Linked DNA regions of Schizosaccharomyces pombe. The protein of the gene in region 3 purifies or fractionates together with the protein of the main gene of each other region. This does not show direct contact. Each region holds a gene or a part of one and is shown on either strand. Other genes may lie near its edges.

The links.
Region 1: the proteins of alp21 (region 3) and alp11 purify together in Schizosaccharomyces pombe (affinity purification with western blotting; one study listed by BioGRID). This does not show direct contact.
Region 2: the proteins of alp21 (region 3) and alp1 purify together in Schizosaccharomyces pombe (affinity purification with western blotting; 2 studies listed by BioGRID). This does not show direct contact.

What each region holds. Positions count from the first base shown.
Region 1 is NC_003424.3:2,248,813-2,258,637, reverse strand, and holds alp11 (tubulin-specific chaperone cofactor B), read right to left. Parts: upstream 5,256-9,825; 5' UTR 5,171-5,255; coding exon 4,466-5,170; 3' UTR 4,198-4,465; downstream 1-4,197. Other genes in the region: pcf11 (cleavage and polyadenylation specificity factor), read left to right, coding at 15-1,781; adenylate kinase Adk1, read right to left, coding at 2,041-2,703; ribonuclease H2 complex subunit Rnh201, read right to left, coding at 3,070-4,050; ubiquitin ligase Btb3, read left to right, coding at 5,449-5,657, 5,726-5,817, 5,868-7,138; tRNA (uridine) methyltransferase trm9, read left to right, coding at 7,531-7,611, 7,661-8,266. UniProt on the Schizosaccharomyces pombe protein: Required for microtubule function and cell polarity. Involved in the proper folding of alpha-tubulin.
Region 2 is NC_003423.3:3,352,546-3,365,269, forward strand, and holds alp1 (tubulin-specific chaperone cofactor D Alp1), read right to left. Parts: upstream 4,503-12,724; 5' UTR 4,181-4,502; coding exon 4,034-4,180; intron 3,990-4,033; coding exon 2,901-3,989; intron 2,857-2,900; coding exon 1,870-2,856; exon of another isoform or gene 1,831-1,869; coding exon 1,448-1,830; intron 1,400-1,447; coding exon 1,270-1,399; intron 1,224-1,269; coding exon 1,006-1,223; exon of another isoform or gene 964-1,005; coding exon 600-963; 3' UTR 501-599; downstream 1-500. Other genes in the region: protein Ndc80, read left to right, coding at 1-269; knh1 (KRE9-like protein), read left to right, coding at 5,234-6,088; SPOM_SPBC11C11.06C (uncharacterized protein), read right to left, coding at 6,815-7,351; rpl1801 (60S ribosomal protein L18), read left to right, coding at 9,272-9,274, 9,327-9,887; pre-mRNA-splicing factor srp1, read left to right, coding at 10,339-10,424, 10,471-10,527, 10,577-11,261; rpl502 (60S ribosomal protein L5), read right to left, coding at 12,201-12,724. UniProt on the Schizosaccharomyces pombe protein: Has a function in the folding of beta-tubulin. Microtubule-associated protein that is essential to direct polarized cell growth and to position the nucleus and septum to the center of the cell during mitosis.
Region 3 is NC_003424.3:2,384,957-2,396,180, reverse strand, and holds alp21 (tubulin-specific chaperone cofactor E), read right to left. Parts: upstream 6,246-11,224; 5' UTR 6,096-6,245; coding exon 5,941-6,095; exon of another isoform or gene 5,903-5,940; coding exon 5,634-5,902; exon of another isoform or gene 5,592-5,633; coding exon 5,492-5,591; exon of another isoform or gene 5,446-5,491; coding exon 5,170-5,445; intron 5,127-5,169; coding exon 4,391-5,126; 3' UTR 4,238-4,390; downstream 1-4,237. Other genes in the region: GDP dissociation inhibitor Gdi1, read left to right, coding at 1-766; TOR signaling pathway transcriptional corepressor Ifh1, read left to right, coding at 1,922-3,811; protein Cbp8, read right to left, coding at 6,508-8,448; SPOM_SPAC22H10.08 (uncharacterized protein), read right to left, coding at 8,740-8,859, 8,916-10,274.

The DNA.
Region 1 (9,825 bases), 140 kb from region 3:
ACTCTTATTTACAGTGCCCACCTAACTGTAAACTTCCAGCGCTTTACCTTTTAGATTCTATTTCTAAGAATTTAGGAGCTCCTTATACTTATTTTTTTGGCCTTCATCTTTTTTCGACATTTATGAGTGCATACACCGTAGTAGAACCCCGTCTGCGCTTAAAACTGGATCAATTATTAGCTACTTGGAAACAACGTCCACCGAATTCAAGTTCTTTGGAGCCCGTATTTTCCCCCATAGTTACAGCAAAAATTGAAAACGCATTACTAAAATACAAATCAACAATTTTGAGACATCAGAGCCCTTTACTTGCTAATACTTCAATTTCATCATTTTCTGCTCCTATTGACGCTAATATTAACTCCTACTCCTCATTTTCCGATCCGGCATCTTCGTACAAACCGTCTTTACCTTCTGTTCCATTTGGCTTTCAGCATATTTCGGGCACCAGTCCTTCTCCTGGATTTATTACACTGGACTCTCTTTTATCTGATGTTAACCGAATGATTGTTACAGAACAAGCTAGATTTATTAAAAATCCTTATGACAACATGGCTAAAAAGCGGTTTGAAATACTATTACAACTCAAAAATGTGCTGTCTTCTTCCGCACTACCTTATGACCAATTGCTGGCTATAAAAAACCAGCTGGCACAATTAGAGAAGCCGGCTTCTCCTTCAACGAGTTCTGTTGCTACGTCTGCTCCCTCCGTGCCTTCTGCATTATCATCTATTTCTTCGACTCCTTTTATGAAACCTTCTATTCCATCTACCATTCCTACAATTCCTTCTGCGTATTCGGCTTCTGTATCTTCGCAACCTCCACTCACTCATTCATATGTCCATCCAGGTCCTCAAAGTCACAAGTATTCGTTATCTTCAGGGCCGCCGGCATCCTTATACAACGCGAACGCGTTAACGCCTGAAGAATCGTCTAGTATAGATTCTCTTTTTGCTAATCTGCAAGCTGCAGGGTTGGTTCCGCCATCTGCTGGTGGTAAGTCTCAAGGTCCACAAGCTTCTTGTACTGAAGCTGTGTCTCTAACAGCAGACATTGACCTTTCTAAATCTTCGCTCGCTACTCCTCGGCCCAAGCTATCTTCTTTGTTATATGAGAATTATTCTAACCAATGCGCAAACTGTGGTAGGCGTTATGGAAATGATCCTGAAAGTAGAAAGGAGTTGGACAAACATTCAGATTGGCATTTTCGGATCAATAAGAGAATTCGTGAAAGTAGCCTTCATGGGATTAATCGCTGTTGGTTTGTGATGGAGGAAGAATGGGTCAATAGCAAAGAAGAGGAAGATTTAATTACAGAGACTGCTCAGGAAATCGAAGAACAGCGTCAAAAGCAAATGGAATCCGTTAGGTCACAATATGTATTGACACCCTTAGATCCAATTGCTGCGTCCGAGCCTTGTCCAATATGTCAAGAAAAATTCCAAAGTGTTTGGCATGAGGAAGCTGAAGTTTGGGTCTTTATGAATGCAGTCGAAGAGGAAGGCCGTATATTTCATGCGACTTGTTTGCAAGAAGTACGCCCGTCAGAAAACAAACATTCAAACACAAATACTAGTACACAAAATTTAGCGGAAGCAGCTGTTTCGTCTAATATTAAAAATGCTACGGGTGACGCTTCGAAGGACTCTCAACCTGATGTTCAAAATTTGTTACAAGGCATTGATATTCAAAGTATCCTTCAAGCACTTGGTAAACGCAAAGAGAGAGACGATTCAATGGATTCAATGTCTTCTAAAGTTATTAAACAAGAAAGCAAGTGAGTTTTGTTTTAACCTCATTTTTCTCGAGCTTTCGGATTTTAGCAATAAATTTGAATCATGTACATACAAAAAATATTTCTATATAATCAGCTAAAATATGAGTTTTACATACTGCTTATAGTAGTATAGCAAACTAAACAGTTTACCGAAAACTTTTGGGTTCAGAATATTCTATATTTATATCCTACGAACACTAGGCAAAAATATCTAAGTAATTGAAAAAGAAAGGGGCCCTTCAGCTCTAACCTAAAAAAAATACTTACTCAGCCTTCTCAAGAATAGCAACGATCTGCTCCCAAACTTGCTCAGGTTTTTGAGCAGCATCAACAGCAGCCCATTTACCCTTCTTTTTGTAAAACTCAACGACAGGAGTAGTTTGTTCGTGATAAGTGACCAAACGCTTGCGCAAAGCATCGGCGTTATCATCGGAACGTTGGATAAGAGGCTCGCCAGTAACATCGTCTTTCATAGGAACTTTAGGAGGATTAAATTCCAAGTGGTAGCTACGGCCAGATCCGGGATGGACGAGACGACCAGTGATACGTCTGACCAAAAGTTCATCATCAACTTGTAACTCAAGGACAGTATTCAAGTCAAGTTTGAGTTCATCAAGAAGAGCGGTAAGCTTTTCAGCTTGGACGACAGTACGGGGGAAACCGTCCAGGATGAAGCCGTTCTTGCACTCAGGATTGTTGAGGATCTCATCCTTGATCATACCAGTGACAATGTCATCGCTGACAAGACCACCCTGATCCATGATCTTCTTAGCTTCTTTACCGAGCTCAGTTTGACGAGCTACTTGAGAGCGCAACATGTCACCAGTAGCAAGATGGGCGATGCCATATTTCTTCTGAATGTTGGGGGCCTGAGTGCCTTTTCCAGCACCTGGAGGTCCAACTAAAATAAGTCTCATGCCAGCCATATTTGATCAAATTGGGTATCTATGCAAAAAAAAAACGAGATTCCACAACAAAGCGGTATTTGGTAGTAGTCTAAAATCGGACTGAGAAGTAAAAGAAGACCACCTAATTTTTATAATAGCGAACTTTAACAAGTCGTTATATTATTGTTGGTGCTAAACCAAACTCAATAAACAGAGCAGAAGCCTGGGGTAAATAGAACAATAAATTTATATTATTTTTATCTATAACCAAATGCTAATAAAGGTTTTCTACGTAGCTCCAAAAGCACGAAGCAATGCAATTAATGATTTTAAGCATAAATGTAAATTCGTATCACTCTCACAATTAGTCTTAGGCAAAAGTAGTGACAGAGTATAGTAACTAAACTAAAAATAAAACTCTGATCCAAACCACGAACGAGAAGCCGGATTCGGTTTCTTTTTCTGTGTAAAGTTCAAAGTAGGAGTATCGTCATCTTCGTGCCAATCTATTTCAATCGAAGACTGTGATTTGGAAGGTAATTCTAGTAAATCCTTAGCGGTTTTCCATGAATATCTAACTATGTCTCCCTTCCATCCGAAAATTTTATCGACATTTACTTTTAACCACTCGGTAGTTCGAGCGTCAGAAGAATATCCAGAACCCCAGTTCTCAGTTCGAATACTTTCACGAGCGCATTCCAGTTGAATATCTCTAGTAACTTTAGCACAGATAGAAGCTAAACTCACGATGGGAAAAAGGGAATCTGCTTTTTTAGTGACAGTGACTTTCGCTTGAGGAAAATGAGCTTGTAATTTTTCCTGGTATGATATTGGAGGTCCTACTGTATCCACGTAAATCTCTGTAACATTTATTCCTGATTCATAAACTTTTTTTATTAAGTCAATTGTCGTATCATGTGCTTGAAGATTTAAATTATACTTGTTCCGGTACCTCAGCATTCCTGCAGCTAATTCTCTTGCGGAAATAGACATAGTAGACCATCCAACGTTTTTTCCTAGCTCGTTAGATTTGTTGCAAATTAATTTCAGAAGTTCCTCTCGCTTTAAGGAGGCCAAAGTTTTACTGTCAGCAAACCCATAGTTGGTCAAATCGAAATCGACTGGACAGTAAGCGACAGCATATACCATAGGTCCTAAGACAGGGCCTCTACCAGCTTCATCTACTCCTAATCGATATGGCTGACTCTTGGAAATATCATCAGTGACTGTTGAATGATAGTAATTCGATTTTGCGGGATTCGATTTATTAACTGAAGGTGGTAAAAAAGTTATTGAAGAATTTTGGTCTTCTTGTAGCTCATTTTCTGAAGAGTTATTGTCACTGACTAGTTCTTCTGGTTCCCATGCATCGTGATCATCTTTCATGTTGAGATTGCTGCTTTGTATCTTTTAAAGAATTATCAGAGTACTTCTAATATTTGGCTCAAAAACTGAATAAAAAAATAAATAAAGGGGTTGAAGGAATGCGCAAATAGGCCTAACACAGTTTTCTTTCGTTCGTGGTTTTAATTAGCGGTACTACGGTAAAACGATGTAAATAAAAAAAAAAGAAAAGCCAGACAAACAATTCATTACAGTTATAATGCTTTCTTTGATTGAGTAAAAATATTTTAATTGAGAAATGACTAAACTAAATGATTTACTTTTTAGACTTTCATTTTTTTAGAAAATTGTTCATTATCTTAAGCGAGTCATCTCCTAGCAATCGAAGCCTGCATACAAGATTTAACAAAAAAAAAGGAAATCATTAACATGGAACCTTGTAAAACGAATAACAACATCAAAGACCTTCTAAAATATCTTCTGGAGGGAAGTCTCCTACTTCAACTTCAGAAGATCGAAGAAAGGATCCATGTTTATTTTTCGCATTAAAGTATCTCTTTCCGCTGACTGTCCCATCATTTTTCCCAACTGGTTCATCAAATTCGACGCCAACCCACAGATTGTCATTATTAATTTCAGGCACTAGTCCAATATAGCGAATAGTTCCATATCTCTCTCCTGCTGCACAGCACCTAGAATTTAAATTTTTTTGTAAGTCGACTAATTCACGTTTTAAAGATTCTTGTCGAGAAGCTTTACTTGCTTCAAAGTCTGGATTGAATCGTCCAAGCTGATTTCTTTTTTTCCAGGCATAGACAGAATCTGTCCTGTTCTCATACTGTTCACGAGGCATTACATATTTATCAACCTGTGAAAGATCGTCAAAGTCTAGACGCAAATGAGGAGGGCGTGTATCCTCAACGACTATAGTCCCCAGAGGCTGAAGCTTGAATTCCCCTAGGTCTAAATTCTCTTCTTCGCTAGTGAAAACGTGTCCAGGGACTGTACTGGAAGCAGGTTCATACGTAAGTTTTTGGTATTGTTCTGGTGTCCCTACGATAGGAACTAATTTGGTCTTAAGCTGACTAACAGTCCATTGTGGGTTAATCCTTCGTTCAGCATTTGCAGAGGAAGATTTAATAAAGAGAGTTATCTCATTCATGTAGCAAATAATTTTAACTTAAGATATATGATTAATGAAAACGGAAAACACAAGAATATATAAAGTGGTGGAAGACGTAGTAGTTAAATGCTGACGCCGCCTTGGTCAGTCGTTCACAAATCACATCGAACTTGAACAATTACATAGAACCCTCGTTAACCAACTACATTTCGCATATGATCAATTAAATTTTAAGTCGATAATACTGTTGAACATAAGTGCAATCTTTGCTCAGTATAACCTTTTAATCGGTTGTTAATTGTTCTTCATTTATTAAAATGGCTTCTCAAGATCAAAATACAGGGACAACACATGTCGAATTGCAAGGTGGTGAAAATTCTAAAAAGCTTTTCTCCAAGTATGACCTTTGGTCAAAGGCAATGGATGAGAAGAAGCTGTCTTCCTCACTTTTCACAGTAAATGATACCCAAGAATTTCTTGAGCTTTGTGAAGCTTGTCGGCGTGGAGATTTGGAAGTTGTCAAGAGGTATGTGCAATTTAAAAATATTGAATCGATAAACAATTTTAACTGCAATTGCTAAATTCAAAATCCAGTTTGGTCGAAAACTATAACACACCTATTAATCAAGTAGACCAATTTGACTACTCGCCTTTAGTCCTTGCGAGTCTTTGCGGGCATGAACCAGGTATGCTATGAATGTTTTGCTCTCAATTATTATATTTTCTCACGCTTAAGTTGTAAAATTTCTTCTTGAAAATGGTGCTTTATGCGAACGAGATACTTTTCAAGGAGAAAGATGTTTGTATGGTGCCCTTAATGATAATATTCGCCGTATGCTTCTTTCTTATGATATTACTAAAGCCATTGATGAGTCCCAACCTTATGCTAGTCACATAACTTCCTTGTTGTCGAACTCGGCTTTACATTTTACTACTGACATAGTCTTTGCCGGTCAATATGGTAGGGTTTTTGCTCATAAATTCTATTTAGCTGCCAGAAGTTCATATTTTAAATCAAAATTTTCGAAATTGGGACCCAGTGAACATGAAATTGAAGTCAAACATTTTGCTAAAGAGTTTGAATCAATTTTGCGATATCTCTACTTAGACACAAATGCTGTTTTCACCAAACAGTATAACAATGCTCTTCTGAGTATTGGAAAAAAATTCCAGTTAAACGATTTTATCGCATTGTATGAAAAAGATCGCGAGCAGTTACACTCTAGAGATTGGAAGAAAATCCAGTTGGCAAAAACTCAAAATGATCTAGGAGAATTTTTGGATTATATAATCTCTAACTACAAAGTACCCATTGAATCTCTTAACCAACCTTCCGATCAGTATTCGTTTCACGATGCTTACTTGCAATCTTATACACACCGCTATCCCGTCCATCGTGCCATCATGTGCAGATGTGAATATTTTTTGGACATGTTAGCAGGACCATTTTTGGAAAGCAATCAAGAACTACCGGTTTTGTCTTTACCTTTTTCAAGTTCTGTTGTTGAAATTGTATTGAAGTTTTTATATACCGACAAAACTGATATAGCGCCGGAATTAGCTTTAGATGTAGTTTACGTTGCAGACATGTTGTCGTTAGATAAAGATAGAAGCTTGAAATCTTTAGCTTCTATAGTTATTACTAAACAAGAAGAGCCTATAGATAGTATTTACGATATTCTACGAACAGCTTGGGATACGTCTACGCCTCGCCTGGAGCAATACGCTTCCGAATATATGGCAAATCATTTGGAGCACTTGATTGACGATCCTGAATTCTGTGAATTAGTCAAAGAAAGTGCTGATCGAATTTTACAGAGACAAGAAACAGACACGATCGAACTCATTGATGATATTCGTTATTTCCTCTCAAAACGTTTTGGCATTTACCATGAGGATTTGTGCATTGATGGAGTTGTAGATACATTAACACCTTATGAAAGCGAATATAATCAAAAAATGGAGATGATTGACGATTTACTAGATAAACTGGAGCTACAAGCTTAATGGCAATGGTAGAAAAAATAATATTTCTTGAACACTTCAACTGTTTAAATTAATCATTATTAAAATTCAAATTCATAGAAAAGGCTTTATCTCAGTTTGCGCATTGCAAAATAAAGTAACGGGATACTTTTAGTACCATCACCGTTTTTTTTGTGTTACTGGTAGCTGTAATTTGTTTTAGTTGTTGCTTTAAATGATAAAGAATAATGAAATCCTTAATTTTGAACCATGGCAATAAACAAAGGAATGGAAATTATTTTCAATCTCTAATTTCGAAATTAACATCCCTATAACCCATCGTTTTAGTTTTACCATTTGCTAACCTTACCCAACCTTCGAGACGTATTTTAATCGGCTTCAAAGGCTACAAATTTTTACTTATTTATATTAAAATGGAAATAGAGTACGAAAATGAATATGTTCATCAAGTATATGATAAGATTGCAACACATTTCTCAGATACTCGATACAAGGTAAGTTAATACAACGATATTTAATTAAAGCTAATCAGTCATTTTGTAGCCATGGCCAGTGGTTGAAAAATTTTTAAAATCTTTGCCTTTGGGCTCTGTAGGAGTAGACATTGGGTGCGGAAATGGCAAATACCAAAAGGTTAACCCAAATGTTTACATGATAGGAAGCGATCGTTGCGTAAAACTTGTTAAAATAGCAAGCAATCTAGGTCCTATGGTTATTTCTGATGGCCTGCACGTACCTCATCCAAGCAATCGGTTTGATTTTGCCTTAAGCATAGCTGTAATCCATCATTTCAGCAATGAAAACCGAAGGTTGCAAGCTGTTCAGGAAGTTTTAAGACCATTAGTAAAAGGAGGGAAAGCACTATTTTTTGTTTGGGCTTTAGAACAAAAGAATTCAAGGCGTGGTTTTTCAGAAGACGGACCGCAGGACGTTTATGTTCCTTGGATATTAAAAAGGCAATATGAGTATCCAAATGCAAAGCCGGAGGAATTAAAGGGGCACGATCCTGCTGAAAATATTGCGTATCAACGTTACTACCATTTATTTCGCAAGGGTGAATTAAATGAGTTAGTAGAGACCGCAGGCGGCTCAATATTGGAACATGGCTACGACCGTGATAACTGGTGGGTAATTGCTGAAAAAAACTAAGTTTTGGAATGAAAATTGATCGTCATATCACCTTGATAGAACAGATTTTTCATCTTTCTTGAACTTGTTCTCAAAAAGTTGGAATATTTCTATTTTACCTTAATTACATAGTTTAAACTATTTTCGTTCGGAAAATGATTTTACAGATTTTTTTTTTTAATCTAACTGGTAGAAGAATTTCTGTGTTTTATGTCTCGATTATTAATTTACTGCGTTTAATTATAAAATGAAGCGATGAACTAGTCATTCCCAAGGGCGAAAAGCGGTCAAATGTACTTGTTTTCAAAAAAAAAATTGACGGTTTCTTAGTATGACAATAGTGATAATTTGATATCGATTGAAGTGGTTTTCTGTTAAATGATACTATACATCTGTGAATGGGTTGGAAATTAAAATGTTAATCTAATTTTTGTTAATAGTTTATTCACGTAGGTTAGTGAAATGACGGTTCAAAGGTTGCATAAGTATTGGAAATCGATGAAGTATGTCAAGCAAAAACATTTTGTAAAATGAATAAATTTCAAAAAAAAAATATTTTTTTTTAGAATAATTTGGAATAATCATGCATTTCTGTATATGTTAAACTTTTAATATAAATCTGTGCTTGAGTATGAAATGAATTATCTAAAAAACAGTGTTTGAATAAACGTGTCCCAATAATAATGATAAATTGTAAAAAATATGTAGGAATTATACAAAATTTATTAAGCCACAAATAGGAATAGTAATTAACGTACAAAATTTGATTTGAATTTAATAATTTAAATGCGACTAAGTTACTTGCTTTTCTATTTACCAAAACGAATTCCAAAGAGAAAAAAATAAGCAATTAATAGTTTGGCAAAACACTTACTGCATGAATTAAATTAATAATCCGACATGCATTAATAAATTCTTGGTTGCTAAATTCAAATAAAGAAGTAATCAGCAGTTCTTTGCTCCTTAGTCGAATGATTACTTTTTTTCTATTCCATTCACCTTCTATTTCGTATTTGTTATATTCATAAAGTCTAGGAAAAATATAAAAAGATTTCCAAGATCCTAATTATCTATTTAAAATTATTATGTTGATATATCGTCGCGTAATATAATTAAATCTTTTTTTATCGAAACCTCAACAAGCTTTGGTGGTTTAGTGGTATAATGAATCGTTGCCATCGATTCGACCCGGGTTCGATTCCCGGCCAAAGCATTATTTTTTACCAAAACAATTTTTGGATTTATTTTGATTTGTTTGAATTCAAGCACGTGGTACTCTGGATACCTAAAATATGTACAACTATAGATTCCAGTAATATATATATTGCAAATGACTGAACTCAATTCTTCAGGCGCTATACTGTGAATGCAATGTTTCTACGATTTTTTGCCATGAAAAATAACGATGCTTATTTACCACGATTCAAAGTAACTAAGCGTTTGGTTATATTCGCTTGGAATACCAATCTACATTACAATGAGGAGGCAATAATTGCTATGATATAAAGCTATTGTCAGAACCAAAAAGTCCTGAGTTTATGGGAAAGAGTGAGCTTACTAGTTATGTAAGATATTACACT
Region 2 (12,724 bases), on a different chromosome or scaffold from region 3:
AATCGGATAAGTTAGAAAGAGAATTACAACAGCTCAAACTTTCTTCGCATAACAGCATGCTTCAATTAGACCAGCGTATACAAAGTATAAATATCGAAGCGGATCAAATTGCACATGCTTGCATGGAGTACAAAAACAATATATATAAAGAGGTTGCATTTGTGCTTGGTGAAATAATACATTTCAAGCTACACGTTCAAGACAGTTTGGAGGATTTGAAGATGGACTACCAAAAGGAATTGGATGACCTATCTCGTTCGGAACTGTAAATTCTATTCATCGTATTGTGCTGTCTACTATATTCACGGCTCATGAATACATTTTTTTATCACGATGGTGTTTTTGTGTTTTATGCTTTAATCTCTTACTTTTTAATTACAATTCTAATGAAGGTAATAATAATTCAACTCTCAATTTTCAAATGTAATTTTTATTGGTTGTGTTCCTTTTATGGACATCAATTTAGTACTACATAAGCACGAACTGTTTTGGCTAAAAATTTGAGATTATTCACCAGATATTTTATTGATTGCAGATTTTAACGTTTTTATACATCATATACACGACTATTTAAAAAGCTGAAAGTAGTTCAAAATTTATTATCGATCAGCTATCAGTTTATCTATTTGTTTCTGTATTATATTCCTTAGCTGTTTAACAAAAGTTGCGTTTTGAGATACTGGTACGAACCAATCCAAAGTCAGTAGTTTTTGGTTTAATTCATTAGGGAGGAAAGTTAGCAAACCAATTGACTTCGCATAGAGCAAAGTGTCGGCTGCTTGGTAGCGTACTTTTTCAATCGGGTTTAATAGTAGGTTTGCCGTATATTTTAAAGCATGATGCCTCAAAAGTTCATTTTTGGAAAGAAAAAGCGTCCGATATAACTCTAGTATCGCAGAAAGTCCCCCTGGTGATTTACAAGTAAGAGCCCTTCTCTGTACAATAAAAATCGCTTTTGACATGCTGATATCATTAGTATTTTGAACAAAATGTAAAAAAACATACCCCTTAACGTTTTGAAAGTCCGTGAAACAACCATATGCTAACAAAGATGTGAAAGATTTCATGATTGGAAAATAGAAACGAGCTATTTCATCCTCCGAAGAAAGTATGTCTATATAGAGTTGTAGAAGATCCCGTTTACCATAACGAGAGTTAGATTTTTTAAACGAATCTTCTAACTGGTAAACATAACTTAGATAAAATTCAAAACATTTAACTGCCTAGTAGAGTTAGTATATTAAGACATCGAAGCATATGATAACTTACTAAGTCACTGCCAAAACCATCGGCAGTAAATACTGTAATTCCGTAAAAAGCTTGAAGCCTTAAATTAGGTATTTCTAGCAGAGATATATTCAGTTCATTTAGTACCTCTCCATCCATATTTGGATTATTCCTGAAACTAGTGGTTAATAGCAGAATTTTAATTGAAAACTCATTTTACCTAATACGATTAATAATATTAGTCAAAGCTTCGCATCTTCTGATTAGGTAATGTACTCTGATTTGTTCGAGTGCTTGATATGCCAAACCCCTCAAACTATCAATTTTATCAAATGTTTGCCTTATAATATAGGAAATACAACACCAAACTATATCTTCACTTAATTTTTTTCCAGATGAATCTTTGACTAATAGACTGGAAATGGCCTTCATTGCAGGTTTGCGAATCCATGAGCCAACATCTCCTCGGGTATCTGTCAAATAATTGGAGCAAACCTGAAGTAATTCTTTGACAAATTCTTCAATGCTTTCTGTTTTTTCATAAGTAAAGGGAATAATATTTTGAAGCGCATTCGCAACAGGTGCTTGATAGTCTATTGAGTGCTGTTCATGTTAACATTGGTGAAAAAATTCTTTACTTACGAGTTGGGGATAAATATCCAATAAAAGCTTGCATATCTTTTTCTGGTATCGAAAACTTATATTCGGTAAATTCTGTAGAATAATGTATACAATTCTCGCTTCTTTACTTGTTGAGCATTTTCGTATATAGTCAAGAAGAACCTCCAATGTTTCTTCCATATCATCAAATTTAACAAGTACACTGTAAGCGTCACTGATGTCTTTTATGATTGTTTCCTCCTGTAAATCAATAGCAGCGATTATAACAGAAAATGCTTCACTGAAAAATGCTCTGTCAACACGAATATCATTGGCAAAAATTTGTTGAATTCCTTTTAAAATTCCCAAAATAATTTTTGTTTGCTGTTGCCTTGAAAATTTTTTTAAGGACAGTAGGTTTTTGTGCGACAGTAAATCATGGATACGATTTATATCGAACGGGAAGCTTATGGATAAAAATCCACCTATAATACTTGCCAATCCAATCGTATAGCCAAAAATAAAATCTGCATTACCAACAGACAAATAATCAAGTATGGGAGGAAGATAGATGCTTAGCTCTTTGGGATATTTAATAGAAAGTTGTCTTAGGGAAAAAGCAGAAAGCTGCTGTACCTTCACGTCCCAGTGCTGAAGGTTTGTAAATAGTCTTTGGAAAACACAGGAACGAAACTGAGGAAAATGAGCTACTTTCATACACAAGTCACCATAACAATTTGAAATATCCGTTACAGAAACATAGTTAATATGTGATATCAAAGAAAGCCCATCGGGAATAGAAGCGTGTCTGCCAATCACCTCAAATAAAGCAGCAGTTGCAGCTCTGCGCACATTTATTTCATTGTCAAACAATACCGTTTGTAAGAGACATAAAATAAGATTCGTTTGTAAGCCTTCAATTGCTGACTTAGAGTAGCAATGATAAAATGACCAAACAAAATAACAGGAGGCATCTCTGATGCTTTGTCCTGTTACTCTAGTTCCATATCTTACTTCGTATGATAAGCCCTAAATAAGGATTAGAATGATATAAGAAAACAAAGTGTACTTACTACTTCGATCAATGGAAGAATATGTAAACATTTACTATACTTAATTAAACCTGCACCTGCTAGTTTTGCGAAGAAAAGTATAGCTCCGTGCCAAACCAGTGGAGAAGTAATTGATATGTTTACAGTGTTTTCTATGGGGTTTAAAAACATATTTTCTGTCATCAATTCAATAATGGCATCGATAACTTGCTCAGCCAAATTCCAGGGCAAACGACTTATGATCTTGGCTAGCCCTTTGGCTGCAGACCAGCGTACAAAACTGTCTATGTCGCTTACAGATGACAATAAAAAATCAACAATAACCTCCAGATATATATGTACTTCTTCGTTAGAGTCATCAGGTAATTGAAAGAAACTATCTGGGTTACTGATCGAGTATTTCCAATTAGGGGATGAATTTACAGGCAGCAATACAATTCCCAATCTTGTATAACATTTGCATAATAATTTCCTCAACGCTGAATTTTCTTGTCCAACTAAATCTTCTCGTGCTACATTCAGAAACTGAAACGCAACATCAACTGTTTGAAGACAATCATTTCTCGGACAAATTTTAAGAAAAGAAGATAAGGAAAAAAGACACCCAATTTTGTAAAAGATACTTCTCTTAAACCAACTACTCTCACAGTGGTGTAGAAAGCCTAGAAGTAAATCCAAACCGTCATCACGAGAGAATAATCGGGACAAAACAAGACAAGAAGCTTCTTTGTCTATTCCCGAATTTTCTAAGTATTTAATTGCTATAGTGTAAATGGTCTTCTTCACATCCAAGGAATCATCTAATGAATTTAACGGGAATGGGGTATTGAGTGCTTGAGAAAGCCACAGTAAAACTATGTAGTGAAAATGCCAGGTATTATTTGATGATTCATTTAATAATGTATATAATTCCTTAATATATTGAACGCCAACAGGAAAGAGGACGCGAACAGCTTTATATCCTCTTATTTTACAAAACTGGTAAAGGATAACGGTAATTGAGTTACATTTTCCGATATTTTTCACTTTCAGTAAATAGCTAGCCAAGTTTGGAACGTATTTACTCAGTAGTTTATCGAGCAATGTCGGCTGAAATTGACAAAATTGCAACTAGAATTTTAATTAGAAAGGTCACAATATCTTTTTAAACATACATATTTAACAGCGACGTCTTTAAGTTTTTCCACAGAATGTGAAGAACTTCTATCGTCTAAAACATCATCGAGAATTTGCGATAAACGTGAGGTTATCAAAGACTCATCTATAGAAATAATTCCTTCTAAAGATTCTTCTTCTTCCATTTTTGTTTAAAATTTATGCTATGATTATTTTTGACTGTAACGACTTTAAGCAATTAACGCGTGTTGAATAAATTATGAAAAACGAATAAAGCGAAAAAATATGTTAATCTCCTTTCTTTTAGAATTTCTTTCGTCCTAAAAAAAAAACTTGGTCCCTAATTTTCTGTATTGCCTTGGACAATTTCCTCCTTTGTCACTCATGAGGTTGCAAATGATACCAATAAGAAAATAAAACAAGTTTGAATAATTTTAGACCTGTAAGATTTATTAACGATTAAATTTCACAAGCTTTGATATTGAAAAACATTATGAAAAGTGGGATAATAAAAAGGTAAATTATTGTGGTGGTGTAATCTGTACCCACTACTGATATTTCAAATCTCAAATCTAAACGTGAGCAGTTATTAAGAATGCTTTTGGAGCAACCACTGTGATATTTGTAAATGATATATTATTTCTGCGAATGAATTAGGAATACAGCCAGACAGTAAGCATATCTGGTAGTAAAGGGCCTATATATTGACAGCTCTAACGCAATTATTTCATAGAGTAGACATAATATTCACGACATAGATTCAGTAAGTTCGCATGTTATTCATTCTTTTGGTACAAGACTAGCATTTGATATTACAAATGTATAGCAGTATCGTTTAAATAGATCTTTACTTAAAGATTCTCAAACGTTACAATAATTTTCCCAAGATGTTGGCCTTTAAACTAGTCGGCATAAATTTACAGAGCAATTGTAAGTACTTGCTAAACTGAAGAGAATTTGAATTAGAGGTTTCAGGTTAAAACATATTCAGTGTTAACTATATCCAGCTTGTTCGTGATATATATTTTTGAGTTAAGCCGAAATTTATTGCATGAAATAAAAAATAAAAAAAAATAAAAAAATCACTTTTATTAGCTTACAATAAACCAACTTTTCTCGATTATTTGTTTACACATGTCAAATAAGGTGTTTCGATATACATCCCTGTTGTCAGAGCAACGATTTATATATATCGCTTACCACTAAATTTGCAAAGTCTCTTCAAGCCGTCGAATTTAATGAAAACCACCATGTTGATGCTAGTATTGCTAGTCTGCTCATACATACATTATGTATGTGCGCAAATTCGATTCGTCACTCCGGCGACAACAGATAGTATGGATTTTACCGCTATTTCGTTTTCATGGGAAGAATCTAATACGGGAATACCTCTTGAGGACATAACCAACACAGTTTTTTATATATGTAGTGGTAGCATGGATGCTCCTCAACCTTGTGCAGTCTTGTATACGTCCCCTAGTCCTTCTTCTATATCCCAAGCTGGACCCTTCGCTATTTCTCAGGTTTTTGGACCAGCTGGACGTCTTTACTTTCTTTGGGCACAATCTACATATGCTGGTGGTATAGTTAATGACTATACTGACTTTTTCACTGTTAATGGTCTAACAGGAACTTTTGATAATTACGAAATTTATGCGTCTTTGATGGCTCTTGGTGTGTATCCTTATGTTCCTACCCTTACTGGTTTTAGCACTTTTCTTGGTGTATGGCCTACAGGTACAATGCGAGATTGGTATCTATCTCAAACTACCGGTGTTCTCCGTACAGGACCTATTCAAAATCGACCAGATTCTACTTTTACTGCTGCTACGACCGACATACAACCGCTATGGGAAACTTCCTCTTATTCCGTATTTACCACGTTTGCAGGTCCTCCCATTGCCACCTCGACTGTCTTTGCATCTCCAACGTACATGTATACGTTGTATGCTAATTATGCTAGTACGGCCTCTAAGCCTACTATAATCGCAACTCCAACTGCTGGTTTAAGGAGACGAGACAGCTGGGCTCAAGCTGCTCCGAAACGTGGGATGCGTTTAGGTGAACACAAACGTGGGTTGTTATATTCCTAAATTGTTAATTTTTTTTAAGGCCAAAGCCTTTCATGTCATTTAGATTTTTCATTAGCACACTAGGATATTACTGTGTGCATTTTTGTCTGCTTCCTTTAGCTCAAATACATTGAGTCGTTCGTCAAAGAAAACAAAATATTTTGGTTATTTGTTATCTAAAGTCATGTTTTTTTTCATATTTACCATTATGCTGTTTCTGTGGAGTTAATTTCACGTAAAAGCATCTTCAAGTGCATGAGTTATTTCTTCATTCGTTCAATTTTTACTTTCCTTTCTCCCTTTTCATTCGTTCTTTTACATATTTAGGCAAAAAGAACTCTCGGTTAAACCCTTTTCTTTAGTTATCATTTTCTACATTTAATAAATAATTATGGTTTTATTTAGAATTTATTTTGTAAATTATACTTGTTTGAACGCATTGTTTAATTAAGTAATCGCGACAAATAAATAAATTGTGTGATGACAGTGCTATGCCAGAACGCCCAAATAGTCGGAATCAATTACTAAATTCACTAAGTTAATATTGCAAAAGCATTACAAGTAATGTTCAATTAAATCATAACATTAAATAAAATATTGTGATATACTATAGAGGTATTCTTCATCAAACCTGTAAAATGCAGCAGAAGTGCAGAAAATCAAGAGGGGATATGTTAATTTAAGAAGATGATAGGAATAAACAATACTGGAGATTTTCAAACAATGAATTCCAGATTTTAACGAACATTAAGTTGATTTATTAGACTTTTTGGAAGCACAGCATGCAGTTTTGGGAGTCTTTGAAAATACAGCGCTGATTGTAAATACAATGCCAGCAATAGCGGTACAGGTGCAAAGAGTACGATTGTTAAGGGTTCCAGATTGACGGCTTTTCAAGAGATATGCAGAGATGGCGCCAAGACTGAGGAGGTTGATTGATATGGCAGCAGAAGCTGGAACTTTATGAGCATTGACAAAATTGCAAGCTTTGGAGTAAACAGATTTCGCTTCTTTTTCCAATTTCTCAGTTTTACCTTTCTTTTCCCCATCGGATGGTTTTTCTGATTCCTTCTTTGCCTCCGCCTCTTCGGGATGTAGAAAGGCGTCGGCATCTTCCTCATCTAAAACGACAACTTTTTCATTTTTTTGGTAGGGTTCTTCACTCAGAACTTCCTCAACTTCAGGAGGCTGTGGTGCGGCTTTTTCTGCTGCTGTTTGTTCAGGAGCATGTTCTCTTACAATCTCGGCATATGAGGGATGGGAGCTTCCTTCTTTTGCAGACATCTTAAAAAATTTTTCAGTGAATATGAGGAGAGATAAAAGTCAAATTTTCTTCAAAGTTGTAAACACTAACGAATTTGATTTAAATTGGTATGTTGTGGTGGGTATATATGTATTAATAGAATTTACATACTTTGCGTATACAGTATGACGTCCTCAGTTGACATCATAATAGTTTAAGCACTGTACTGAAGATACTCATCATCTATAGTAGATTCCAGCAAGTTAGCGTAGAAATCCGTTTACTAAGTGGCATTACGATTCTTTATCGCTGTTTAAGGTGATACAATATTTTATTATGGTGAACAGAAAATGAATTACTTTTTCCTTTTTAAATATAGTGTTATGAATGATTTAATATTTAATGACCAAAAAATGATAGCCTATTACTACTTGCATGTTAAAGTGTTTCAAAAAGGACAGCTTTAACCATATTCGCTAAAGAAAACTAAAGAGGTTTATTATAAGCACAAACTATAGTGAACAGAAAGTATTTACGGCATTTGTGATAATATTTGCTAAATGGCCGCGTGTTTACTACCCGCAGTCAGGAATGGCAGAAAACATAAAAAGTTGAAAACTTGCTTTTATACTGAATTAAATAAAAAAACAAACTAAAAAGTTCGGGTTTCGACGGGGATTGAACCCGTGACCACTTCGACCCAAACGAAGTATGCTACCACTACACCACGAAACCACGTTACAACTCATAATACAAATAGATAATATTAATGGTTTTCTCCTTCCAAAGTAATTAAGTAAATATCATTGATTTTAAAAAAGAGCTAAATACCTAAAGAAATTAGCAATCAGAGTATGGAGAATTATCTACTTGCAACTACTAAGCTGACTGAATCTATGCCAAAAGAAGAACATGAAATTGCTTCAAATCAAATTGATAGAGGACATAACAATTACTTAATTTCGTAGAGTTAAAATAGTTAATGTGAGCTAAACATGCAAGTAACTTAAATAATCAAATATTATCATTGATTAATAATTACGTTCAATTTAGAAAGTGTTTGTGCATCGAAGCAAATATATTTGTTTTAGCAACATTCTGATCCCTTTAAATAGAAAATGTTATCTAAACGATCAAAAAAATATCCTAATCTCGTAATTGATAGAAATCTCTGCAAAGATTTCCTATTAAATCGAGATATGTTCCTTATTGCCTAAAATAAATTAAAATCAATCCTGTAGATGACTCGTGGTCTTAAAATGATACTTTTAGAAAAAAAAAAATAGGTAAATAAGTAACCTAACCAATTTTACGAGTTATCAGATACATAGATTTGAATAATCAATTATAAAAATATATTGATTAATTTACTTATGTGCTTAATATTTGAAATATGCTAGTATTTGCAACGTCTTCGTGTTCGCACTTTATATTTATTTTTGTTATCTTTTAAGCGCCCAATAGTAAAAGAAATTGTATTCCGATCAATTTTTGCAATTTTCGTGCAGCTTAAAAAAAAAATACTTCTTTGTCTACTCAAAAAGCATGAAAAGGTTTACAATAAATGAATACTGAAGGGTTCCATAAAGTATAATATTTTCAATGAAATATGGTTATATAATTCAATTATTATTTGCAGTAAAATTCAAATGCATCTTTTTCATATATCTAGTTTTATAAAACAATTAATTTTTAGAGAGTTAATGAACGTGTTCGATAAATGCAAAAGTAACACCTACCCTATTCCAAAATCTCACTATTATAAATAAATAATCTAGCAAATACTTATTTATATTGAATCATTTATACACCTCCGTTTATGGGTTTGCTACACAAATAAGGCGTACCTAGTGACTCTCGATAAACCTCCCTAAAACCTACCCTAGCTCAAAAAGGCAGTCACAAATTTACTACCAATTTTAGCAGTGATTATTGAAACGAACAAGCAGCGTTATATCAAAATGGTATGTATAATATGAATACCTGTTTGTTCTATTAAGCTAATGAGTGATTTAGGGAATTGATATCGAGAGACATCACGTTAAAAAGTCTCAACGCAGCAAGCCTGCTTCGGAGAACGTCTACTTAAAGCTTTTGGTTAAGCTTTACCGTTTTTTGGCCCGTCGTACAGATTCCCGCTTCAACAAGGCTATTTTGAAGCGTCTTTTTCAATCCAAGACTAACCGTCCTCCTATTTCTATCTCAAAGATCGCTGCTTTAACTAGCCGTAAGAGTGCTTCTTCTCAGAACAAAACCACCGTCGTTGTCGGAACCGTTACCGACGATGAGCGTATGTTGACTGTTCCTAAGCTTTCTATTGCCGCTCTTCGTTTTACTAAATCTGCTCGCGCTCGTATTTTGAAAGCTGGTGGTGAAGTTTTAACCCTCGATCAGCTTGCTCTACGTGCTCCCACTGGAAGCAACACTGTTCTTGTTCGTGGTAAGAAGCATGCTCGTGAGGCTTACCGTCACTTTGGCTTTGGTCCCCACAAGCATAAGGCTCCTTATGTTCGTTCTGAGGGCCGTAAGTTCGAGAGAGCTCGTGGTCGCAGAAAGTCTCGTGCATTCAAGGTTTAAATTACCTTGTTCAAGCTCGTTTCCTTTTCTCACACTTTATGGGATCAGCTCTTAGTTGCTTCTCATTTGGTTAGCGTTCATAAATTAGGTTACCGGTGCATTATTGATCCGGCTTTAGTGTACATCAATAGTGTTCGTTCCCAGATATGAATACAATGAAAATCTAATAGCTTAGTTGGTTAACATTATTCTCTTTCTAATTTTTTAATCGTAAACGTATATGTACTTGTAAGACGATGCTTTTATTGATTTAATATTGGTGTTAGCAGTTACTTTTTGTATTTCGCGCTGCAGGTCATTATTAATTTTTTTGTCGTCGGATTTCAATTTAGTGAGCACGAGTGATTTTTACTAAATTCGTTAGCCACACCGTGCTATTCGCTATTGGATTTCCATTCCTCCTTCCACTTACACCGAATTTTGGAGCAAAAAACGTCTTCTTAAGAAAAAAATGAGTCGCAGAAGCCTTCGTACCCTTTATGTGACAGGATTTCGAGATGGAATGCGTGCTCGTGAGCTTGCTTATGAATTTGAGCCGTAAGTTGTTTTTCATGCACTTTAAATAGCTAATTTATTCATTTAGTTTTGGGCCTTTAATACGTTGCGACATCCCAATCCCTAGAACTCGAACTTCAAGACCGTAAGTAAATGGCTTTCTAAGTAAAGATTTTAACCGTCTTATTGGATAGTTTTGCATTCGTTGAGTACGAAGATTCCCGTGATGCTGAAGATGCGTATTATGAAGTGCACGGACGTCGTCTCGAAAGAGGTGGCGGTGTTCTTCGTGTAGAATGGGCCAAGCAACCACCTCCGTCAGGCCCTGGCTCCAAACGTGGTGGAAGACGCGAACGAGGAGGTCGTGTTCACGGAGATTCTGGACGGCTACGTTCAAGGTCACCTAGTCCGCACGAAGCCCGATCTCGTTCCCCTTATAATGATGAACGATCTGATAGAAGATCAATGAGCCCTCGTTATCGTTCGCGTAGTCGTAGTCCTGATGGACGTAGTCGGTCTCCCGATTATGATCGTCGTTCTCCTAAACGGAACCATCGTTCACCTTCACCAGTCTCTTTTGCACCTCAAAAGAGCCCAGTAGAGAATGAAACTGAAACGAATGTTGATAATGGTGACACAAAAATCTCTGAGTCTAACGAAAAATCTGGCACTGAAGTTGAACAACAATCTGCACCTAACTCTAATGGTAACGAGGAAGTTAATAATCTTGAACCAGTCGGTCAAAACGAAAGTAAGCAAGAGCCTCCTAAGGAAGAGAACTCAAATGTCTCACAAGAGCAACCAGAACAAGCCCAACCCGAAGTGTCAGCTGCTTCAGAGCAACCAGAATCCAACCCTACTACTACAGAGTCTCAATAAACTTTTGTACTTAATTAAAAAAAGGTTTTCATGTTTTAAAAATTGTCTATATTCCTTTACTTTTGTTCCAAAATTCCGTAACACAGTTAATGTCGTTTATCCGGCTAAAACTCTGAAATGTCATGTTTGTGTAAATCTGTCCTTTTTTTTTCAGGGCGCTTTATTTTTTTTTAGAAAATAAAACCGAAGAAAAAGCTCAACAATTTCCACTTTTGACTGTGCTGATTCGTGGCAGATTTTGCTCTGAACAGATGATTTAGAATCCAATTTCTTCTCTCGCTGTTGCTTGAACTTTTATGCCGTAGGTTTATCTCACAATATAAGCTTTCTTTCTCACATCAATTGTGTGATGCCGCAAAAATTGATACCATGAATGTTCCTTTGCATTTATTTATTTAGCGGTATGCTACTGCCAAACGCTTGTTTGAATTATGGTATGATGGTCGCTTGTTTCCTTCTTTAAGGGCACAACAGTGTGCTCAAAATATATTTAGCTTTTGCAATTACTATGAAAATACTTTTTGACTTCTGGATTTTGTAGACTATAATTTTGACAGTTCACTAGTTTGAGTTAAAAATTTTTGTAATAAAACTATCTATTTATTTATTTATGCCATTTTAATATCATATTTCAACTTTGTTGTTCGCACTTCTAATTTCAGAGCTTTTTATTACCAGCAGCCTTTGTTTCCAAGGTATTACTGTTGAATACAACTTTTTCAACATACATGTGTGTTAATATTTTACTTTTAGTTTGGACACCAAAATCGCATAGACAATTTTTAACTATATATCAAATTCATGAAGTTTTTTAGCAAAAAACCGTTATTACTTTACGTTTATAAATCATAACTAAAAAAAACAAAACAAGAATATACAACAAAGCTACGCCAAAAATAAAAATTTTCTTCAATGTCAATTTTTTATTAAGCACCCTTTTTAAGCACGACCGGCCTCAATAACCTTGGCGTTGAAACGCTCTTTGCGTTCTTCAGCAGTAAGCTTCCTTTGAGTATACTTAAGAGACTCAGCCTTGAAAGCAGCAGCATCCTTACCAGACTTCTGGAAAGAAGGATCCTCACGGATTTTGGCATAAGCCTCGGCATAGATGTCCTCAAGTTGATCGCTCTCAATACCATCAGCAATCAAGCCAGAGAATTGCTTTTGATAACGCTCTTCATCATCATCAATAAGCATCTCCATGTATTCAGCAACATGACCACCATAGATATACTTACGGAGAGTCTCATCATCCAATTCCTCAGTTTCAATATCGAAACCAGGGAAACGGTTGGGAGAGTGGGGAATAAACAAACCACCATCAGAAGCACCCTTCATTGCACCAAAGACACGGGAACCGGTAGAAGTACGCTTCAAACCAACATCCAAGAAAACCTTGAAGGGGCGAGGACCATCCTCAATAGCCTCAGTGAGCTCGAACTCACCCTCAGGTTCAGTAACAC
Region 3 (11,224 bases):
TGCTATGGCACTTTATTTGGATGATGCCTATTTGAAAAAACCTGCTCGAGAGACTCGTGAGCGCATTTTACTGTATGCGTCCTCGATTGCCAAGTTTGGCAAATCCCCTTATATATATCCTTTATACGGCTTGGGCGAACTTCCTCAAGGATTTGCTCGTTTAAGTGCAATTTACGGTGGTACTTACATGCTTAACCAGCCTGTCGATGAAATTGTTTATGGGGATGATGGTGTCGCAATCGGTGTTCGAAGTGGCGATCAAGTTGCAAAGGCTAAGCAAATAATTGGGGACCCATCTTATTTTCGTGAAAAAGTTCGTTCAGTTGGACGCCTTGTGCGAGCTATTTGTATCTTGAACCATCCCATTCCTAACACAGATAATTTGGATTCCGTTCAAATTATTATTCCACAGAACCAAGTCAAACGTAAGCACGACATTTATATTGCAGGAATTTCATCTGTTCACAATGTTTGCCCTAAGGGATATTACTTGGCTATCATTTCCACAATCGTTGAGACAGCTAACCCTTTGTCGGAAATCGCACCTGGTCTCAAGCTTCTTGGGCCTGTAGTGGAATCATTTTCTAGAGTCCAGGAAATATATGAGCCAGTGACAGATGGCACCAAAGATCAATGCTACATCAGTAAAAGCGTAGATGCCACTTCCCATTTTGAAACCTTGACTTGCGACGTTCGAGATATTTATAAGAGAATGACTGGCACTGACTTGGTTTTGAAGCAACGTCCCAAAATGGAAGATCAATAAACATTAGGAGAATCTGTGGCCTTCAAGTTTGTCACTCGCTGCCACTATAGTCGCACTGAATTTTGTTTTCACAGATTGGAATTTATCTTTAATGAATGAGATTAATGCATGATGCTATAAAATGTTATATATTGCATCTGAAAAAGATTTTTGGTCGTAAATGATGTTCTACGGCAAGTAGAATCGTCAAACCAGTATACTATTACAGTCAATGTTCATTTGATTGATGGGTATCGAATTAAAAATATTTTTCATTTTCAATTAGGTAGATGATAAAAATGAATTAGACTATTTAATAAACTTTGTTATCGCCAAGATATGAAAATAAAAATTAATTATATCTAATAATTAAGAAATATCAGTAATATAAGATTATGTAAAGAAGTTCAATAACATTATATGCCAGAAATTATTAAAGTTTTATAATGTATATTCCCAACTGGTTTCTACACGATTCAGTAACCGCTTTTACCGTTAACTTTGATGAGAGTAGTCAGCTTTACGGTGAGAAGCTTTAGAGAAGCTAGGCACCGTTAGCCAGGCGTATATTAGTGCTGTTTTGAACTACTCTGCTTGGTACGCTAGTAAAATTCATCTGTTCTGTAATTTAAACTTCTGTCGTATAGACATTATATTAGATATTTACCAACTATATTAGCAAAGTGCTTTAACAACTATTTTGCCAACAACGGTTGCTCTAAATTCATAATTAACTTCAAAATGATTAATCAATGAATGATTTCAAATTTATGACCCAACTATGAGTGCAATTACACCAGATGCTATTCAAGTTCATTCTATTGAAAATATTCCTTTACTTAGATGTAAACGAATTGCAAAAATGCAATTGGAAGTGCGATAAAAAATATGGAATGCGTGTGCAAATAATATAAAGTAGCAATTGTTGCAGATTCTGTTGTAATTTATAGCACCATTATGAACATTGGTGTCGTGAAGTTAAGTGTCGCAATGAAATTTGTGTTACCTTTGGGAATGCCGTAATGAAGTGAAAAATTAGGGCGGCATCACGCTGATTTCACGCACAACTTTTAGGGTAGGGTAGTTGGTGGAATCAGAACTAGAGGCTAAGAATTCCGCTTTCAAGCAGTTGAGTACTTAACCACAGCCAAGTAATTCGTCTTTGCGAATGTTAGGATGGCGCTAACGAATGGGCGAATTGAAGAGTATGATATACAGAATGGGTATCAAAATACTGAAGAAATTAAAAAGTTACCAGCGGAATTGAATTTTCCCGTTGATTTTGACAAAATGCCAACATTCATCTTTCAAGAAGAAAGACAGAAATTGGATTTGCCTTTATCTGACAGTGAGGAAAATCAATTTCATGATTTTTCTGATTCAAAATTATCCCTGGGATTTGAAATCGGTAGATCGAAAGAGAAATTTGTCGATGAAAAACCATTTTATTCAAATAAGGAGCCTCTGAAAATTAATTCTTGGAAAAAGTCTTCCTCACATCCCAAGTCGAAAGAGGTATCCAATGGACTTTTAAAAGTTTCTACTCCCCCTACAGAGTTTGTAAAACGAGAAAACGCAGGAATTAGACGACGTTCGTCTAATCAAGGATCGTTTGCGTTAGAGGCACCGAAAATTTTAAAAAGAGATGCAATGTTTAAAGAGAGTTGGAAAAATAAATGTTTTATTTCTCCACAAAAGGATAATCAAGGTTTTTCGAAAAGCAAGCACCTCTCAACGTACGAAGGTGAAACTGAAAATGGCTTTTCGACATCTACGGAAGAAGAAGAGGAAGAAGAAGAAGATATAGTTAGCGCTTCCTGGGTTGATAATTTGGACATGGACATGGCTTCTTTTAATAGCCATCGTGAACGTTTTCTTACCGAACATGTAAATATGGATGAGCGATCAGATGATGATTTCTTACTGGGGCTTATTAGTTCAGATTCTAGCGTTGACGATCATGACAATGAACAAGATGATGTTGACTTGATTGGATGGGAATGCTTCTTTGATGATTCTTCGGACGAACTCAACACTTTATCTCACCAAGCAGATGATGAAGGGGATACAACTGATGAAGAAACACCAGAATTACAAAACAATAAGTTATTAAATCTATCTACTCCTAAAAAATCTTTCGGTCAAACACCCCGAATCAAAACAGAATTATCGGAATCACCTAACTCACAACGTACTCTACTTTCAGCTGTCCCTACTCCGCTTGAGCTATCAGCTGAACTCGCCTATAAAGAAGATCTTACTTCTTTGGCTTCTCGTGCAAATATTTCCGATAATAGTACTGGTTTGACCCCAACACTAGCTAAAGCTACCTTAGCTCAACCAGTTTCTACAGTTGTCTCTGTAGCATCTTTTGAATTAGATCCAAGATTAAATATAACCCAACCAAAGCCGCCTGTAATGGGTACCTGGGCTAAGGAACCGAATCATTTGATTGGTATTATTGATGGTAAACACTCTCATTCCCTTCACCATGATAAGTTTGATGCATGTACAAAGGGTGAAAACACTGCTAACAACGGTTATGGGCCTCAAACTCTGAATGAAACTTCAGAAGAGCCATCCCTAGATGATATTCTTGATACATCTCTTCTGCAACCTTCTACACAAACTGATCTTCAAGAAGAAAATTCAGTTTCCTTTGCACAAGAAGATAATTCATTGAGTCGCTGGGAAAAAATTCCTATTGGGACGTTTCGAAAAAATCAGTACATAAAATCTATGGCACGTCGCGATGAGTTAATTCGAGATGAATGGTTTACCTTAGCTATCAAAACACGTGAAAAACGCCGACACAAAATTAATGCTACTGGTATGACTACCACAAATTCCGTTCCTTTACGACCAAAATCACGTAAGGCTCGTCGTGCTCTCAAAAAGAAAGCACGTAAAATGACTTTTCGTCAGATGCATTCTGATTTTCAAAGTGCGCTTGAAGACGAACACAATGATGGCTCTTACCTTGATAATGATTATGAAACAGTAGGGTTGGGCTTAGGCCCAGAATTATCTCCCCTATTTGAAATCTTAGAATCTTCTGGCTATTAAAATTTTTGTCTCCTTTCTAATTTATTTTATAAGTGTATTTGGTGTGCTGAATTATTTTCCAATACTACGATATTGGTTTCTTATTTTTTCGTTTATCAACCTTAATATATTTGGACTTTGTGTCTTTTCCTGTATTGAAGAATAAATCTATATGACATGGTTGATCACTTTGCTTTCATTTGGTCTTTGAACTTGCTTTGTTGCAACTATGTAATCAAGGATTCCCTATTATCACCAGTTCCCTGATCTTAGTTGACCGTGGTGGATTAGTTTGTCACACTTGACGTGTATTTTTTTTTTCTATTGGTTCAAGGTTTTGGCTTTGGTTTTCTTTGTTTCTTAATAATTTTATAATTGTGTCGAACCGATTAAATAACTTAGAGGCACTTTTCATATATGGTATATACATGGAATTAGTATATTTAAAGAGTTATTGAATATTAAATATAAAAAACTTCTAATGACTAATCGCGTAAACTATAATACTAGAAAAGAGTTCGCTAAAAAGATTTTTCTGTATTTTAAAAGAAGCCGTAAAACTAGAGCATCGATTTTGGTCCTTCAAGTAATAACTTGGCTTTAGACGTTTCCACTTTCCTTTGCATATACATCGATAAAAGTACAAGTAAAAGGGAGTTCAAAGAGACGCTTTTGGTCGTCTCTGACAGTCTTTGGAGAGAAGCTTACATCTCGTTCGCTTGAAGCAAAGACAAAAGTAGACGTATGTACTGGAATTGCGAAGTGGTATGAAATTAAAGCTTTTATATCTAACAGTTTCCAATTATAATGGAGCTTTAATAACATTGTCGCACCTGAGTTAATTGACGATATTTTGATGCCCTTTGTTATGCGATTTTTAAGAATGCCAGACGTCCAGTCATTGATTGAAGCTTCCAAATGGAATTGAATGCTTGGCAACTCGTGAGATTTCCATATTTCCTCCCAGAATGGCTCTATTTTCGTAAGCTCTTCAACATCCTTAATTTCATTATCAATCACAAGCTTCCGGATGCATGAAGTGTAGTACAACTCAGCATCCAAACGCTCATTAGGTGATATATTCACATCATTCAATTTTACAAGAGAAGGAATTCGCGCAATCACCAGCAGTTTAGCTATATCAGTAGGTTTATTAAAATAAGAAAGTGTTATACGCAGGTGCTTTAAGTTTTCTAATGTACGAAGATGATCCAGAGAACGAATATCCCTAATGTTGTTTTCTGATATGTCAAGGAATGTCAATTTGTGTAAAGTGTGTACAGGTAGTTCTGCAACATCAGCGAGGGAGGTAGAAGATAAATTCAAATTGTTAATTCTTTAGATTAGAAACCTAATTCGTATTTCTCAAATATACTTACCCTTGGAACACATCAACTGCATAGCCATCAGCACTATAAAGATTGAGATTATTTGCAAGACTTAACGTTTGAAGGAACTGCAGATTTTTAAAAGATGTTGCTTTTGATAAAATTATTTCATTTGCTTCAAGGTAAAGTACTTCCAAACTGGGAAAAGTCTCTGTAATCCATTGAACATCTTTACTGTTTAGGCCACATCCATTCACTGAAAGTTGTGTTAAATGAGGAATTAAAAGAACGGTATTTGAGCTAATAAAATTTGAAAATAAGTTTGAACTGAAAGAGTTAGAATATACGTGTAGAGATAAACAAAAACACATGCTCTAGAGTTAAATTTCTTAATGAAGGAAGCTGGGAACACAATTTAAGGATTGGAAAAAATTCATGAAACAAATTTCTCGATAAATCTAAGTCGATAACTTCTACAAATTCCGTTAACATTTAGTTGAAAATAAGTGACATACCAGGTAGTATTTTAGAATACTCGTACTCTATTTCAATATCTTCAATCCTATAATTGTCTAGAATAATAACGCGCAAGCTTTTTAAATCTCTTTGCTTGCTTTGGATTTTTTCGAAACCACAGAATTCTACCTGTTTTCCACTTTTAAATTCAACAGAGGAAGGTAGGGGACTTGAATATGAATATTTTTCGTAAAGTGCTTCCAAAAATGTTCTGCATGGATCAAAAGGGAATCCTTTGTCTACAAATATTTTTCCTTCTTTTACAATTCTAATAGTTTAGTTTCTTGTCGTCAATAACAATCTTACAATGGTTTTTTGTTTCTCCAACACGTTTTAACAAACTGTTTTGCATTTACGTTTTTATCAAGTATGACTTGGTATCGATCATTGTTTCCTTCGATGGTTAATGTTACTAAAGTATTAGATATAGAAGCCCTAACCATTCCAGTGGATATATGCATTATTAATCAACGTGGGAAAGAAAATGGATTGCTATAAAAATTTGGGCAGTTTAAGTTTTTTGTTTCTTTCAAATTTTGTCTTTTATCTACAACAAAAAGTTTTAACCGCACTTTTTCTTTGCGACATAGAAGTGTTCAGTACGTAGTGATAATATAGATGGCATCAGATTTGTTAGGAAAATAGTTGGAAATACTGCTTATTATTATACGGGTTTTGATTCTAATGTCGATCTCATTTTTAAATGTGCTGCTTTATTAAGTCTCTCAATGTTAATGTAAATAATCTATTGTTGGCTGCATACCTCGTAAAGTACAACTTGATACCAATGAATATATTAATTATCAAACAATGCGTTTAAATGTATCAAGCACCAAGCACGATGTAGATTGGAAGCAGCACTATCGAGAATTATCACTTTTTTAAATGAACTGTACATAAAGGAAATGTTGCTTTTTGGGGGCGAGAACTCCATCCTGGGAGAATTCGCAATTGTTGATCTGCAACCCATTTGAGACTTCTAAAATTTACCTCGTGAATGGCAAAAAATTCGATCTCTCGGAGAACTTTGTCATTTGATAACAAAGGAAAAGAAATTATCTTTAAAAAACGAATTGCGAATTCAGTTCCCATTTTTTTGCTCAATATCGAAATCAGAGTTCTGGTCCAGTCGCTGCTATTACGGAAACAATCAACAATGTAATCAAACTGAAGCCCAGATAACCGTATATACTTTAAAGCATAACTTAATTTATTTTTTTTTAAACAATAACAAAAAAATCTGGGCAGGTTTTTTGGCATTATTTCGATTCCTCGTTTTCTGTAAAAGTCTTTTACTTCGAAGGAATTCACACCTTGTAGTAATAATAAATTAATCTTATAACGACTAACTTCGTTTAAATTTTTCTTTTTGTTTATATAATAAATACAGGCATTCAAAAAACCTTGATTCTCTTGCATTTCACCAAACATCTTCAAAAGAGAGAAAATAAAATTTTCCGGAATTTGGCCTTTATGCTCTTCCCAATTTTGATTTATTTCTTGAAAAATTAAACGATCTTTAAAGACGACAACGTAATTAGCGAGTACATTTAGCAGGCTATAGCAATTTAACAAAAAAAGCTGACGAATAGGTAAAACATGCTCCAGTAGTTTTTTGCAATCTTCTTTCTTTCTTAATAAAATAAAACGAGAAAGAAAAATTGCTTGTACGTCAGCCAAATCAGATAAATTGTAGTGATCTCGTATAATATGTAAATATGCGGAATAGACCTCCATAGAGCCTTCTACTATATTGGAAAAATTTTTGAAAAAAGAAACAAAAAACTCAATTTTTACCGGCCATCCCTTATTAAATGAGTGAATGAGCCACATTTTAAGAGAGCAGCTATTTTTAGCCGAAAGGAGAGATATAAAGACTTTATCCAGAAACTGTTCAGATGGAGTTATCCTTTCATTATCAATATGCTCCATAAGCTGAAAAAACGCACGTAAACGTAAAAAAATTTCAGCCTTCTCCATCTTCGAAAAAGCAATAGACGGTGGTAGCATAGAATTAGCTAACATGCAATGGCTCGAATTTCCATGGAAAAGACTGTAATCTCTAATGAGAAGCAAGAAAAGTGTGCGGAAATCATTAAAAGTTTTTGAATTAAGTGAAGAGCGAATATTAGCGCTTTTCAGCAGTTTTTCAACTTTGTGGTACGGTCCATCTTTTCGAAAATATATAGAAGAGAATGAACTGTCATATTTAAACAGATCAATTGTTTGCAAAATTATTTTTAAAGAAGATTTTAAGTCAGTTCTACTCAAATTTACAGTAGATACGCAAATATTCAAGGCAGCTGAAATAATGCTCTCCAGAATTCGCTTTTGCCTTTGCAAATCCGGATCTAAACGAAGCACATTATATACGAAATTTACCAGTACCTTTTTTTCGTCAGAATATTGTGAGAAAAGCAATTTTGAAAAACCATTATCTTTCGGATTTGAATAATTCGTAAACATTAGCAACTGATAATACAAGTTACTATTAACCTCAAAAACTGGGTAAAACGGATGCAGAGCTTTCAGACATTTGTTATATATTTCTGATAACTCACGTTGATATAGCAGGTCATCATCATTATAGTTTTCATAATCTCTCCAGGCCAAGGTAGAGTCTTCAGAATACTTTCTTATTAAAGATTTGAATTGTAAACTTTTTTTTGCAGAGAAAAACCGTCTGCTTAATGAAGTATTGTCTTCAAAGTACGCTTTGCAAGTGCAAAAAGAAATGTATAAGGGTTTCGACTTGACAAGAAAAGCACTTGTATTTGACAAGTTTTTTGACACTTTGCTAAGGGTTTTCAACATAAACGCATCCTAGGTTTAATCCTTTATCAAATTAATCTCCAAAGTATTCTAAGTATAAACCGATCAAAGTATCTCTAAATACAACCAACTTCAATAAAATAAAGTAAATAAAGGTTTTTGGTACGTGTATTTATGTCAATCTTTTGAACAATTTACGCGAAACGTAATAAGATTTCCTGATGTTGGCAGTTGTTGGTGGGAGCCTATTACACGTCGAGAATTTATATACATTTTTGCAATAATAAAATAACTGATGCTTAAAAGATTGTATTTTAATCCATTACTAAATAATTACTCACCATTGAAGCTAAGAAATCCGGACATGAGAAGTACACGATAGTAATCTTTTGTGTGTATGTTGTTTGCCCAATTCCAGGCACTAGTCAAACGTCCATCAATACAACTGCCAGCCTAGAGCTAGTTAGTAATTAAACAGATATATATATAGATAGATAATTTTAACTTACATCAAACCAATTGTCTGCACCAGATCCATCAAATCCGAATCTCATAAAATCGGTTAAAATAGTCTTTTTTAAATATTCTCTGCCTCCAAAAGCTGTATCAATGTAGTTAAGAAGAGAATGGTCATTTAAAGAATCTAACTCCTTGAACAATAGAACCAAGGGTGTTAAAATCCTTGGCACTTGCATATACTTGTCTATAAACAATAAGGCATTTGGAACAGCGGTATCTCCGAGATGGATTGTTGAACTTCCTATCCATGTTTCAGACTGTTCTTGAGCCGTCCGCAAAATCCTTTCCATCGCAATTCTAATGTTGGGACAAGGCTGCATTCTGTGTATTCCTTGATTGTTATCAATTAGCTTATACTCCATATCTGGGTTAGTTAACTCCAGATCACTAAGAGCCCATAATGAAAATATTTCTCCCATAATTAAAAGCCAAAGATGCAAACTTTGCACAACATAATGGTACTGTTTGTAATGACTATGCTTTAGTCTTGAGCCATTAATGGCATCAATAGCAAGAGTAAACTCATCGTCCACGGTATCTGGAGAAAAATATGCTTCTACCAAGCCTATGAGTTTGGCAATTGGATCACGATTATATCTCAAGTAACTGTTACTATCAGCAATAGAGTAGAGACACCATCGTACTTTCTCTTTTGTAATTTTGCTGCTGTAATACTTTTTTGCAATATGTTCAACAGCTCTTTCTTTCGCTTTAATATCTTTTTGAATCGCTGAGCGTGATCTATTTTCAGCGACTATTTCCATAGTAGCAATTTCGGCATAAGGATCTTCTAATGCGTTCAAAGCATCCCTTTCATTCAAAAATTCATAGACAGTCAAAATGGGTTTAAAGAGGTTAAATCCAAGTGCGTCTTGAATTTCTGGTCGCATAGAATCTTGCACAAAGTACATCAATTTCCCATAAGTAGACCCCAGTCGGTTGGGATTTAGCACTTTATAACGTCGACCTATTTCAAAAATCTTTTTAAAAAATTCGGCATGTTGTTCAAAATTTTTATGCTCAAGCAATTCTTGTCCAACTTTATAATCATAAGCAACCATGATACCCGACAAAACTGCAGTAATTCCTTTCAATTGCTGAGCCAGTCTTTTCGCTGGCGACGAAAAGCTTAGGGTATCAACGCTGTCGGTATAATCACTCACATCCAATGCAGCAGTAAGTAAATGAAGAAGCTTTCTTTCTTCATATTCAAGTCTCAAAGGAATCACTTTGGCCCTTTGCAACAACACAGGAGAAGAAAATTTCTTTTCAGGTGATTCATTACCCGTTTTAGATTCATTGGGGAGAATGGATGACAAATACAAATTCCTTAAGGCTTCAGCGTCCATGTCTATGTAAAGAATACGTTCTCATGAATTAATCATACAGGTATAAATTAAAAGGAGGAAGTATTAAAGTGAGGGAATCTTTAAAAAAAAATTTTAATTTAACATGTGTTTTTGCAATGTTGAAATAAAAGCAACTGCACAGCTGTAATTTATTGTTTTTTGATCTATATCGAAGGTTGGGCGTTCACTACTTGTCACTTCAACAGGTACTATTTTCTACCGCTATTTTAGATGCCACCATTCTAAGTATACGGAAAAGGAAATTATATGAGCATTTTTTATTTTTGAAATTTGATAAGCATTAAGGAAAGTATGCATGTAGTAAAGCAATATTTTAGATAAACTAACAAGATAAAGCGTCTTTAGTATTGGATTAAATGTATGCAGCATGTTACTTGTGGTCACATTAAATGTAAGAAATAATGTATACATAAATGAAGTAAATGTATAGAAGAAAGCGTTTCCGGCTTCCAATATCTAATTGTTTAATGAATCAACAGGTAGTTTGCAAAATTGCCTTTACCAAATTGGCTGTATATAATATACGTGATCGATATTGTAGCTGGTTCATATGAACCAATTTATTACTGCGACATGATATTGTATTACCAAATCTGCGTTGATTCAGCTGATTAAGACGTTGTCAAGAAATGTTGAACTTCTCGCAATAAAAACGTTTTTATTTTACTACTTAGGCTTACCTTTATCCCCTTTTGAAATACGTCAAATACATATATGTTTGGAGGAACAGTATCAAACAACTAATGAAAATATTCAATTGAATGATTGTGAACAAAAAGGGAGTGCATAGTTGAGATTTTTTGTTTATTTTACCTCCAAGAAAGCTAATATATAAGGAGAATAAACATTTTGCATCTTATTCGGTCGTGATTAAATACTATCCAAAAACGCATACCTCTCGAAAAAACAGACAGATATATTAGAAAGAT